Arabidopsis thaliana: one gene and its partners. The protein of the gene in region 2 interacts with the protein of the main gene of each other region in a pairwise test. Each region holds a gene or a part of one and is shown on either strand. Other genes may lie near its edges.

Region 1 (4,044 bases), on a different chromosome or scaffold from region 2:
ATTGATCTTAATCAAAGCGGTGGAAAGACGATGAATGGGGATGGCGACGAGATCGAGTGGATGCAGCGGAATGAAAGGGGAACGAATTGTACTTCCAAGAGTGATGAAAGACTCTTAGACTACGAGCTTGGATCCAACTTAGATATTACACACTAAGAAGAAAACAAGTTGAAAAGATACTACACACTTTTCAGATCAAACAAGTGAAAGAGAAAGTTTTTGATTAAAATGTTTGATGATTACAAATGAGAACTACAATGAGTTTATATAGGAGAGGAGGAAGAAGGGGAAGAGGTGAGAGAAGAAAGACATGCAAGAGCATGCACAAGTACACACTCATGCAAAGAGTTTTGGAAATAACAAAAACAATAAATGCAAAGTTTGAAGAGAAAATAGAAAATGGGCCACGGCATTGTGAGTGGGCCTTGGACCACGAATTGAGCTGATAAAGGGAGGCTTGAAAGTGTTCCTTAGGCCTCATTAAAAACCTTGTCAAGAAAACCCATTGGGACAAAACTTGATAAGGGAAAAAGAATGCATAAGCAACACTTAACCCTTTACCGAGCCTCTTGAGCCGTGATCACTATGAAGGAGGATTGAGTCACGTCTTCTTGATTCTTCTTTAGCTCCTTGAGTAGTCCATTGATAGCTTGGTTGAACTTCTTAGATTTTGATCTTGTTAGAGGACCCGCCAGAACGATTAATGCTTCCTCCGGTACAAGCTGCTTCTCGTCTTTTTGTGGTTCAAGTGGTTTGGTTGCCTTGGTCATGTTCTCATCGCATGAGTTTGGACTTGAAACTACAAATACAAAACATAGAAACAGAAGACAAATATTATCATTAAACCAAACTGATGAAGCAGAGAACCAGTTTGATTTCGATCAATTTCCCTCATACATATATGTATGGAAAACTGATCGAGGTCAAACCAGACCCTTTCATTCATTACATTGCTAAAACATATCTGTAACCAAAATTAGCAGAATCAATACATACATATAATAAAGAAGTAACTAGAAGTTAGTTTGAAAACTGCAGAGAAATTATCTTCAAAGTGCTGAAATAGTGTTTGCAAAGTCTTTGAAACAATCAGAGAATCGTAGATTATCTCCATCCAAACATCTCTGAAAATAAGAAAACGGAGTTAGATCCACCGAGACTTGATCATCAACAACAGCGTTCAAAATACTTGCACTAATCTCCTGATGAGTAGTGTTGTCCGAAAACCAATCATTTAGCGCGCTCTCAAAAGGCGTGTCGAAGCCAATGTCTTGATCGTAATCCAGGTTCATTTCAGGTAAAGCAGCGTTGTTATCCATAACACAAAAAGTTTCACAAATCGAGCGAATCTGATCTTGTTCTTCAGTGATCTCATTGAAATTTTCAGGTGAATTATCAGGGACGCAACAAATTGCAGAAGTACTCGACTGAATATTTAGGGTTTGATTTGGCTCTTGAGTAATCTCGTTGAGATTTTCTGGGATGCAACAAATTGGAGAAGCGGACTGAAGAATTAGGGTTTGATCATGAGTTTCGTGGTCTGAAACAAAATCGCACTTGTCGTTGTTCTTCAGGTCCTCGCGATCATTAACGAAAGCTTGATTACAGGCTAAAGCTTCATCCGCACGCAATTCCTTGAGATTCCTCAACAGCGTCCGCATAGAGTCGATCGCTTCACTAATCTCTTGAGGATTCTCCGATCTGGCAAGGCTCTCGTCGTTCCACCAAAAACCTAACCCTAGATTATTGCGAGTCAAACAGATACCAACGTCCTCCCTCGTCTCTTTGTTATCCTTCGGAACAGGACGTTGTCCGGAGAGAAAAGCAGAGACAACGGCATCAACAGAGGAGTGACCGAAAGAGTAGAAGGATACGTTGGATTCAGAAGAAGGAGGAGTCGCTAAGATAGCGATCTGTGCGTCTGAGAGAAGACAAAGCTGAGAGGCTTTGCTATAGAGACCTTCACGGCGTTTGGTGCAGGTAACCCTAAGGGAATCTCTCTTCTGTATCGTCTCAATCGCAATCTTCCTCTTCGTGCCACCTTTTTTCACCATTCTGATTGATTTTTCTCAATTTTGTTGAGTGTGGAGAAAGATAATTGAAAAGTGAAGGCTTCTTCTATCTCTCAGTCTCATATATATAAGGGAAATATCGAAACCCCATATCAATATCATCCACCTAAACCGATTAAACCACATGGACCGTAATCTTGTATGGGCTAAGCCCAACTATCCACCAGAATCCTTTTTTAGTGCAGTCTTATTTATTTTTATTTTGATAATTTTTAGTTATTGTATTATGATTCAGATTTATTTGGAGATATTTTTATTTTTCAAAAAATATTATTTTGCTAGATTCTACAAAAAAAATTTTGTCAGATTATTATGAGAGAGACAAACAAATATATAGCTGGTTCTTCACATTATCGTGTTCATTCTTTCTGGTTCTTCACTCCTTAAAATGTGGCTATGGAGTTGACAAAGGTGACCTGGTAGCAGAAGAAAACTTTGTTAAAGACCTACTGAAAAACAATAGTCCATCAAATAAAACTAACAAAAAAGCCTATCAGCTATCCTAAACACACAAAACTCAAAATATCAATACCAAGAAGAAACAATTGTAATTGGTGACTATAGAACAAACCTTGAGAGAGGGTCATCAACATATAATCACTGACTGATTTCATTGGAGCTTAACCTTGACAGTGTTTCAAAAACACCTAGCAATATCTATCACTCAGTTTACTACCACTGTCTAGAGCAACCAAATCGTCCAGACTTTCTATAAAAACGTTGTTTCTTAGTATTCATCAATTTTTTGTCAAAAATATTTGCAATTATACTGTTTTTGTCTTGATCATCTATTGTAGACTGGATATTTGCACATGTAATGTCAACAATTTCATCTGTTGTTGTACCATTAGCAGAAAAAGAAATGATTCTCAAATTTGGGGTTGGTCAGTCAACAGAAGATGATTCCAAAGCATCAAACGTTTTTGACCTCTCCTCCAATTTCTCTTTACATACAATTTCAAAAAGAAAAAGATTATCTCCAACTAAACCCTAAACCTAAAATTTTCTAACTGAAGGAAAAAAAATCCCCTAAAATTCTCTTCTGCCATTAGAACCAGAGTTTTTAAAGAATTGCAGGAAACCTAACTAAATAATTTGGAAACATGAGAAAAAAAAACATCAGTTTATCTACATAGGCGCGATGATAAGCTACGAAGAAGGTAGCGTCCGGTCGAACCAGTTAGAGAGATTTGAGATTTTGGCTGCTACACTTTTATTTCGACCAAAGAAAGTCTCTGCATTGGACAACATAACTGATACGTCGTGTCGTAATGCTTCCACACTTCGGTAATAGTTGTTCTCAAGCCTTGATCTGATTACTTCAAGAGACAAAGGAACTGGGAACCTGCAGAATGAATCCATAGAACAAAACCATGTCAGCTTTGGCTCCACCAAAGACTCTTCCAGGGTTGTAGAAATTTACCTGTTGGAGTAGCTGGAATTTCCCACGGTCTGGTTCAGTTTTCGGAGGCCAAAAGAATCCTGAAACAAATTAGCCCACATTATATCAATATTGTTAGTTCTTGGGATAATGTTGTGTCTTAATCCACTAAGCTTTAGAATGTGATCTATAAACCAACTAAGCTAATGTAAACATGGGCCTAAGCTCTTTGGGTGAAGTCTGAATTTGGTGGGGAGGATAGGCTAGATTTAACACCATGAGATATTATATTCATTAGGATCACATACCTGGGTTCTCTTGTCTGAAGTCTCTAACTTTGTTAAGGCCGAGAGCAAACGGTTTCGTTGCTCATCATCAATGTGAGGCTGCTCCCACTTGGTATCTGCATCAAAAAGCTCCCAGGGACTGTGAAGATGTGTCTCGGCAGGGTCACTCTTGTACTTAACTGTGTACCTCTCCCACGGACTATCAGGAAAATCAGGTGATTTGGGTTTCACAGCTAGAATCCGTCCTTCCCACCAACTACCATCTTCTTCGCCTTCGTCTCTCCACCAAACTTTACACTTGTCC
Region 2 (5,001 bases):
TAATCCATGACCCGGTGAATCGGTTGAACCGGCCGGATGTGGGTTTTAAAAAATTCTCTTCATTTTGGAATAAAATGTGGGATTTTAAACTTTCTTCAATTATTTTTATAAGTTTTTTTAGTTCTTAAACTCATTTGATGTTTTAGATTTTGGTGAAGATTTCACAATGCGGCCTTAAAAATGAATCGAATGGTGATATATGCAAATGAGATTAGTTGTTTGAATTCACGATATTTCATTAATTTGTTTCTATCATTAGTGATCTTCTATTATATTTGTTACGATGTTAGACATTTAGTTGAATTTAAAATTTTTAATCACTTTCTTATTATTGTTTGATTTTATATATATATATATATGTTTTTTTGGTGTAAATGATTTTATATTTTATCAAACATAATATGATTTTATATTTTTTTATTAAACATGATATGATTATTTTGTTTTCTATTAAACATAATATGATTATTTTGTTTTCTATTTATAAAAATTGTAAAATCTCTATTAATATTTACCCAAAAGGTAGTCCGGTTCACTGTTTGGGTCAGTTTTAAAAACATTGGTTCAAGACATCAAAGCCGTGGGAGATAAAAAGGTTAAACGAACATAGATTATAAGCACAACATTACTTATATCTCAAACGTTGGGTTCAATACATTAAAGCCGTGGGAGATAAAAGGTTAAACGAACATAGATTCTAAGCACAACATTACTTATATTACTACCTACTATTGTAGTTCTATATTTCTTCCTACCAACACACAAACAAAAAGAACTTTACACAAAACTACTTCACTTATCTTAAGACAGAAAATATAATTAAGGCTTGGACACTACTAGCAAGTTTCGTGTTCTTCTGCATCAAACCGAGGAGGCATGACTCTCTTTCGTACCAGCATTTCCGCAGTAACTTGTTTCCTCTTTAGTCCACCTCTCGGTCTTGAAGTGAAATCTTCATCAGTTTCGACAAAATCACCCTGAAACCACATTCAGTTTTACATGAGATTCTAGTCTTTTGAGTTTGTAAGAAAAACACGATAGTATGTAGGTTGGATGAACTTACGCAGGTATATACGTGATACCCGGAATTCTCGTGCTTGTTTCTGACATGTTTGTAAGCAAATCTCATGCCACAACCGGGAAAGCCACAGACAAAGGGACGTATATCATCGTGCACTGCTTTCATGTGTTTCTGAAGATTAGAAGCCTGAGAAATAATCGTAATGTAATTAGTGATGTTGAATAATCTGGAAACGAAACTTGTTTTGGACTATATAAGTTTGACGTAGCTCAGGATGTTTCTTTACCTTGGAGAAAGTCGAAGAGCAACCCTCAACTTCACACTTGATTTCTCCTGGTGAGGAATCTTCATCATGAGTCCGTAGATGTCTCTTGATGTTCTTTTTCAAATGCTTAGAACCACATATCTCACAGTTGATGTGCTGATGACAGGATCTTATGTGTGACTTGAGGCATTCTTCGTTGGTAAAGTACTTCATACACCCAGGCTCGGAACAAAATGCCTCCACAGAGTCTAATTTCACTGCAAATGTAAATCTAAACCTTCAGAGATTGAAAATCTATCAAGCTTTAACAAACAACTGTCTTTAATTTATAACAAAGCACATAGAGAGGAAACGTAGAAATCTTCATATGCCCAGGATACTAAACTAGAGGGAAAGTAAGGGTAGGAAGGTGCACTTACCATGAGAATCCTGATGCTTTTGAAGCTGTGAAGGATACTTAAAGGCTTTTCCACAACCAATTTCTTTGCAGACAACCTGCTTCTGACCAGTTGAACACTCCGCAGGCTGAGAATCGCCATTACCATTATTGTCCTTACCACTTCCGCCATTCCCTTCATTTTCCTTCTCACAACCGCCACTACCAGATTTTTCCTTATCATCATCCCCCTTACAAGTATTGTCCTTATCACCATCGCCCAAACCAGTATTGTCCTTATCACGGTTGTCATTACTATGATATTTCTTAACATGCCTACCAACATTTCCCTGTACTGAGAATTCACTCTTGCAGTTCTCCTTCGGACACTTAAAGAGCTTCCCTTTATGTGTAAGAAGATGCCTATTGAGATGATCCTTCCTCCTATAGCTAGCAGCACAATCATCCACATAGCAAGTAAAAGATCTCTACACACCAAAAGAGTGAAAACCATCAGAAACATAGCTCATTGGCGAAAAGAAAGTCCAAAGCAAAGTGAAACAAAACAAGCTATTGAACATCAGACCTCAAACATTTTGCGTGATCGAGGCTTACTTGCTGGAGCTTCTCAGGAGGTCTCCCAACCTGATACTAGTCCATAACATGTAGCCTCGCATTTTGGAGTTCTCTCTTTGGGATCCAATGCCTCACGCAATAACATAGGTAAGACCTTTTGATTTAAACAAAAGGCTATTTATTTCCTGCAAATGTATAAACTTTTAGTTCACAACCAGAACAAAACTCAACACTAAGCAAAATCCACGAGTATCTCTATGTATCTCCATCTGTAGCTGCAACACACAGAATGGGAACAATTCGACTTCTCATGACAAGAGGATGCATAAATCTACCTCGAGCGAATGACTCTGCATATGCTGCTTCAAGTGAGCAGGTTTCTTAAACTCAGCACCACATTCTTGACAAGTATGATTACTTGAAGACTCCTCATCAACCTCACAAGCTTCATCATCTCTTTCCTCTTCAAGTTCCATCTAAACAAACGAATCATAGAAACTCTCAATTCAACAAACCATCGCCGATTCTACAGACTCAACTCTCAATTTCATTGAAAACAAATCAAGATGCCACGGATGAGAAATTGGAATCGAATTGGAGGAAGATCTCAAACCTGATGATGAGATTGGATGTGTTTAGTGATGAGATAGTTTTTAGATCTGCTGATTCCGCAATACTGGCATAGATAATTGCGTATATCCTTCTTCGCCGAAGTCTTCACATCAACTTTAGCTTCTTCCGCCATGTCTCTCTTATTGTCTACAGAAGAACTAGGGTTTATCTCCTCCATCAAGACGCCGCACAGTAGAAGCTGAAGTAACAATGGCCATTTATATATCAGCTTCTTTTTTCCGGGAGTGAGAAATCTAACCTAGAACACTTGGGCTTCTAATTGTATAATGGGCCTTTCAAGCCCATATAACAAATTTAAATTAGAATTACAACAAATTTGCAAAATCGAGTAGAAAATAGACAAGGGATCTTTGCAAAACGAAAAGTTAGACTTGTGCCAGGAAAAAAGGGAACAAATTTGAAACGTCACAATCGGTCCATTAAATCTAATGGGCCCTGCATCTGTAACATTTTTGAAAAATTTACAGTCGATAAGCTCAATTAGGTCATCGTTTTAACAAAGGGTAGGCCCAAATAAAAAACCAGTCCAATTCAAAAACAAGCGTTTTTTTAAACAATAAAAAAATGATTATGTACTTATTTGTTATCCGCACGTGTCATGTGTGCTACACAACTTCGTAAAGATGACAAATAACACCTCAAGGACAGGACACATCACCATTTTTTAACATTTTTTCCCCATAACGATTTATTAAAAAACGTATTAATCCCATAATCATATCTTCTAATTAATTAAATAATTAACCACACCACAAAATTGAAATTAATGATTTTAATCAATAAAATTAAAAACCCTAAAACGCAACTTTCTCTCTTCTTCTTCCTCTGTCTTTGCGCCAAACCAAAACCCACACAAAAGCCCTCTTTTTTGTTATCCCCTTCTCTCTCTGAAACTAGGGTTTCTATTTCTCTGAGTGATGTGAAATGCTCGTGTAAACGGAAACGATGCAGAAGATTCTGTGCAAAAGTACCACTTCTTCAACCCCTGTTCTCTCTACGCCGGTGAACTCTCTCGCCGCCGGTTTTATCTCTCTAGGGTTTAAGACCCCCGTTAAAAATCTCCCTCCTTGTTCTACTACTAAACCTCTCTCCACTTGTTTCTTCTCTACTTCCGCTATGCCGACCACAACGGCTTCTGTTTCTTCAGGCGGTGTTGGTTTCTCTGCTTATCTACAGAGGACTGTTCATAAACCGGCACCGGCGTCTGTTCGGTTCTCAACAGCTGGTTACCGGACTTGCCGGTGTTCAATTGACGGTACGAACCGGGCTTGGGTTGGTCGAACTGGGTCTTGGCGTGCGTTGTTTTGTTCAGACTCTACTGGTGGTTTAACCCCGGTTAATGCTACTGCTGGAGCAGTGGTTGAAAGCGAGGAAGAGTCTGACGGAGAAGATGAAGACGAGGAGAAAGATGAGAAGCCTGTGAGGATGAACCGTAGAAACCGGAGCTCTAGTGGAAGTGGTGAGTTTGTTGGTAATCCAGATTTGCTGAAGATTCCTGGAGTTGGTTTAAGGAATCAGAGAAAGCTTGTTGATAATGGGATTGGTGATGTTGCAGAGCTCAAGAAGCTTTATAAGGATAAGGTACTTTTGAATCTTCAATTTTTAACTTGCGGGTTTTGAGACAAGTATTGAAAGTTTCAATCTTTATTTTTGGTTGGTTGATTTGTAATCTCAGTTTTGGAAGGCTAGTCAGAAGATGGTTGATTATCTTAGGAGCTCTGTTGGGATTATACATAGAAACCATGCGGAGAGTATAACAACGTTTATTAAAGAGAGTGTGGATGATGAGCTTAAGGATTCTGGCCCTGAACCTAATCTAAATGTGAAGAAACGTTTGACGTTTTGTGTTGAAGGGAACATCAGTGTTGGTAAATCAACTTTTCTTCAGAGGATAGCGAATGAGACTGTTGAGTTACAAGACCTTGTTGAGATTGTTCCTGAGCCAGTTGATAAGTGGCAAGATGTTGGACCTGACCATTTCAATATATTGGATGCTTTCTACTCTGAGCCTCAGAGGTATGCTTATACTTTCCAGAACTATGTGTTTGTCACTCGGCTGATGCAGGAGAAAGAGTCTGCTTCTGGGGTTAAACCTCTCAGGTTGATGGAAAGGAGTGTCTTCAGTGACCG
Region 3 (4,698 bases), 220 kb from region 2:
ACATCTGATATTACTTTAGTTTATCTCAAGAAGTCCATAGAAACCTTCAAATTTCCATTGACACCAATTATTTTCACCATGGCATGAGGGAATTAGCTCGATACGGGTTCAAAATTAATCAAACTATCAAAGGCTTGGATGGATTTGATTATGAGTTAAATAAGTTTCACTTAAATTTGTAACGCTTTTCCTTAAAGTACGACCACGACAGAAGAAGGCACACAAATTGAGGAATCGCCTCTCCTCAACTTGGTGCAGTTAATATATACTAATTAATTAACACTTATGTTATGGATCCTGTAAATAATGAATGCATTAACTTTTTTCAATTAAAAATAAAAACGAAATTTAATCAAAGTATATCATAGAGAATAATATATAGTGGATTCTGATAACTTAATTTGCTAAAAAAGTTGTATATATGTAGACCGGCCTCAATTACTTAGGAATATATGTTTATTAAACCATAAATGATTAAACAGACTGGACGAACTTATTTCCTCAAACCAACCGTACGTGGGAATAGTCTCTCCGGCGAGGAGTTTACGGTGTCGGTTAGTGGCCGGCGCCAGAGCTGGTGGGAGAATGTTTGGCCTGGTCGCTATCAACAATCGTTGAGCTTGAACATATCCTCTTCACGTCATATCTATTTATATCGAAATTGGTTACAGCGTTTAGGCCTCTGAATTTAATTGCCGCGATATCGTACGCCTCCGCTGCTTCTTCTTGCGTGCCTTCATCATAGTTACAAAATGTGATATTTAATAATTCAAAGGCTATGATATAATTCCATATGTATAGAAGTGGTTCATACTAAATGTTCCAAGGTACAAGTCCTTGTTTCCAGCAACTCTTCCAATTCTGGCTTGCCACCTTCCATGTTGATGATGCCTACATGAGTTATACATGCATGATCATCATGATCTAATTCCATGCATGTACATGTACATATATAAATATATACAAGTTTCACATATATGTCCAAATCAAACCTTGTAACTCCTCTATACACGGAAGCTCCCCTCGAAAACCCGCTGCTATTCCTATGATTATGATATGTAATTACAAAGCGTTTGTTAATGGTTAAATGCATATGACTATATAAGGTCCATAAATATCATTACAAACCCACTGTTGAGTAATTACCTCCTCAACATGGCAACAAATTCTTGCCGATTCATGTTATTGAGTTCCTCGATCTCCTTTTCGTAATTACTCAACTGAATAAAAGAGCGTCAAAGGAACTGATATCACAAGCCAAATCTATGTAGTTCCATCAAAATCAAGTCAATAAAATCGGAAAATGATTACATTCAAGATCCAAAATATCGAAATAAGTATGGAAACTGTTATGTTGCATGTATATAAGTGTACATATATAAAACACACTTGCATGTAATAAAGGAGTTAGAAGTGGAGCTAGGTACGGGACCAGAAAGATCAAACTCACAGGGAAATTTAAGTGAGTGGTAGGACCCCAATACTTCAGAGCCGCTAAATCATATGCCCTCGCTGCTTTCTCCTCCTCATCATACCCTCCTATTTTAGTAAGTATTAATTCTACTATTAAATGTTTTTCTATAATTATCAGAAGGTAACAAGGTTAATTTTTACTTCGAAGGCCAAAAATAGGGCAACAAGAAATGAACGAGGGATCTCATGCATAATAGGTTGTAAAATAAAGTTCTGGCTTACCAAGATACACTGTGATTGATCAAGAAGCGAATTCGAAAGTACATACGAAGCCAAAATTAAATAATTGTTAGTAAGATTATTGATGCATGATAGCATATTGAATCGGAAAATTATTTTGTATTTGTTTTTTCTGACCTTGTCTTCCTCTCCTTGTCTGTCCCTCCTTCTTACAGCTATTATCCCATAAGTGAGCTTCATATCTCCCTGTCCATCTATGCCTGTATACACGCACAACATAAATATGTGTCGACACAATTATACATAATCTACAAAATAAAATGACAAATATACATAAGTAACATAATTGTGGCATTCACATTTTTCTTACGTGTAAGTTTGAGACATCATTTAAACCAAAACAAATGTTTGAGACGTCATTATTTAATAACGTACGTACCTTGTAACTCCACGATACTGAGAAGTTCTTTGTCCATAACTATCAACCGACTTCCGAGGAACGGATTCCTTTACCTGAGGTTTAACAACCAATCTCTTCCGCTTCTCATCTACCTTAACCGGTTCTTCGACCCGTGCGGATACATTCGATTCGTTGATCAAATCAGAACAAGCCCCATGGCTCAAAGCCAATGATAGCATTGAGCCATTGGTGTTATAACCAGTCTCTTCGTTACTAAAATGACTAATATTATTGCTCGTACCAGCCTCTTCAGTAACGTAATGACTCGAGAGTGGGAATGCTGGAGTGCCTTGCTCTAACCAAGATTTGAAAACCGAGACCGAACCGACCCTCTCAAAACCTCCATAATCATTGCTAAGGTTCGGATCTAGGTTCGGGTAATGTGGTGTAACTACGGTTTGGTCGTGGAGAAGGTAACCGGGTGGGTTTAACCTGTTAACCACAGTGGTGCAGTTGACATTGGTTTGGTTATGGTTTATAGGATACTCGGTTTGATGAGAGTTTGAGAGGAGATCTTCCACCTTTGGAACGTCTTCATCATGATGATGATGATCAAAGTTAATATCATATCTCCAAACTACACATAAAATAGAAATCAAATTAAGAATATTAATAGTGGCCACACCAACAACATATATATACCAGGGGGATGATGTGTGAAGAAGAGAGTACCATCGGAACCGTCATGCCTAAGTTCTTCTTCTTCACTATTGCAGATTCTCAAAGGAGGTGTCAATGAAAATCCCAACCATTTCTTCATCTCTCTCTCTCTCTCTAGCTGTCTTTCTCGCTCTTAGTTTATATGTATAGGGTTTCGTTTTATATGATTTGTAGTCTCATACGTGCGAATATACATTAATATTTTTCATAAGTCTAAAACATTTAATAAATTATATAATTAAAAAGGTGGAAAAAAGATTTGAGACAAAACAGGTGGCGGTGAAGTTTTGTCGTAAGCATGAAAGAAAGGAAGAGGAAGTTTCTCTCTCCCTCACTCTTTCACATTCTCTTTCACACACACTTGCATCTGACTTCTAGAGTTTTGTGCCCACTCTCCCTCGGATCTTTTCGATGTATACGTATATATATATGGGAGATACACATGACACACTACAATGAAAATTTTCGTTCTTTGGTATTTGATTAACTTTTCCGTAAAAAAAGCACACAGTAGCGCTTAAAAAAGTCAGTATTTTGTTTCTTTCGAAATATGTTAATTAGACAATAATACATTTCTTTTATTAATGTCTTTCTTTCGATATAATTTGGGATATTTTTTAATAAACTTAAAGAACATTACATAATTTAAAAGTAAACAAAATTTGTACTAAAATTAGTAGTATTGCAAGGAAATTTCTCCTTAGACGATAAAAATGTGTTTTTGATTGCTCATTCAATCGATCCGTTTGAAAATGATTCTAACTGTGATGGAGAAGCCTGAAATGATCTTGCTGTTTTCGCAGATTAGACAAAGATCAATCTAAAAGATAAAAGATATATATAGCTGGAGTGTTTGGCAATATGCTATCTAACTCATAAAATTTGCCTCAAGTGTGAGAAGCGGATAATGTGACGGTATAACCTTTGAAAACAGACACACAAAATATGATAGAACAAAAGAATAAGTGATCTCTCTTATTTGGTTGATTATATTGCATATGTTGCTTATAGATAGAAAATGAAATTGTGTTCCAAGCTGTTAACCAAGACTTAGTGGGTAGTTTGTCCATACTCGCCACCCACATAACGAAATGTCGTTCTACACAAAAAGCCACAATTGTTTTCTTTAACAACTGAAAAATGAATTTGTGATTTTATATCTTGCTACGGGCATCGGAAATATTCCAACCTCTTCTACGAGGTAATCGACAATGCCATTACAGAACAAACCTTTTCTTACAATTACCTAGTTTGTAGTATACAAAATAAAAATCGAGAGGTCTTAGCTACAGAAGTTGTCTCCATGAATAATTTCACAGTAAGTAGTTTAGTTATATGTATTAATGTGACAATTTGTTTTATAAAACATTAGATTAAGAAAGTGAAAAAACACCATTATATTTGCTAACTCACAAAACATTTATACATGTCTATCTTAATCTATCAGTATGCAACACCTAAGGCCTAAGGTGAGAGAGATTCAAGCCCATGGGCTGATTTACTGAATTCAGATGACGGTTAATTTTCAATTCGCTGGCAATAATATTTATAGTTCTCTGGGAAAATATTCTGCAAGCTAATAAAAATCTGTGTATAAAAAAAAAAAAACCCTACAGCTCCGTCTTCTCTCCAGTCTCACAATTTTCCTCATATTTATAAATCCGTAAGGGAAATTTTCTAGAAACTCACCAAAAAAAAGTATTCTTTGAATTCAAAGAGAAACCCAAACTAGGGTTTCCATAATCCCTTTTCTACTATATCTCCCACTCTCATAAATCCGATCGCTAAAATCGCCACGATCCTTACTTTCTGGTAAGCTCTCAAGCGAAACCCACTAAAAGTTTCGTCTTTTTCTTCTTCGCATCAAAATCTGATAAGGGAAGAGAACAGTGAAGGAGAGAAGCTAGCTGACGATACTAATTCAA

Evidence for each region. Proteins that work in one complex are often made in the same cells at the same time.
Region 1: the proteins of TFIIIA (region 2) and AT5G49420 interact in a two-hybrid assay, tested with the Arabidopsis thaliana proteins (one large-scale study listed by BioGRID).
Region 3: the proteins of TFIIIA (region 2) and AT1G72570 interact in a two-hybrid assay, tested with the Arabidopsis thaliana proteins (one large-scale study listed by BioGRID).

The regions. Positions count from the first base shown.
Region 1 is NC_003076.8:20,034,117-20,038,160, forward strand, and holds AT5G49420 (MADS-box transcription factor family protein), read right to left. Parts: upstream 2,090-4,044; 5' UTR 2,055-2,089; coding exon 1,050-2,054; 3' UTR 997-1,049; intron 800-996; 3' UTR 556-799; downstream 1-555. Other genes in the region: AT5G49430 (WD40/YVTN repeat and Bromo-WDR9-I-like domain-containing protein), read right to left, coding at 3,222-3,417, 3,496-3,554, 3,762-4,044.
Region 2 is NC_003070.9:27,113,064-27,118,064, reverse strand, and holds TFIIIA (transcription factor IIIA), read right to left. Parts: upstream 3,045-5,001; 5' UTR 3,029-3,044; coding exon 2,852-3,028; intron 2,715-2,851; coding exon 2,574-2,714; intron 2,424-2,573; exon of another isoform or gene 2,258-2,423; coding exon of another isoform or gene 2,249-2,257; intron 2,151-2,248; coding exon 1,706-2,150; intron 1,544-1,705; coding exon 1,308-1,543; intron 1,208-1,307; coding exon 1,064-1,207; coding exon of another isoform or gene 978-1,063; coding exon 837-977; 3' UTR 556-836; downstream 1-555. Other genes in the region: dNK (P-loop containing nucleoside triphosphate hydrolases superfamily protein), read left to right, coding at 3,817-4,452, 4,547-5,001. UniProt on the Arabidopsis thaliana protein: Essential protein. Isoform 1 is a transcription activator the binds both 5S rDNA and 5S rRNA and stimulates the transcription of 5S rRNA gene. Isoform 1 regulates 5S rRNA levels during development.
Region 3 is NC_003070.9:27,329,556-27,334,253, reverse strand, and holds AT1G72570 (Integrase-type DNA-binding superfamily protein), read right to left. Parts: upstream 2,874-4,698; coding exon 2,786-2,873; intron 2,691-2,785; coding exon 2,093-2,690; intron 1,914-2,092; coding exon 1,831-1,913; intron 1,705-1,830; coding exon 1,696-1,704; intron 1,540-1,695; coding exon 1,451-1,539; intron 1,221-1,450; coding exon 1,147-1,220; intron 1,044-1,146; coding exon 993-1,043; intron 892-992; coding exon 815-891; intron 735-814; coding exon 556-734; downstream 1-555.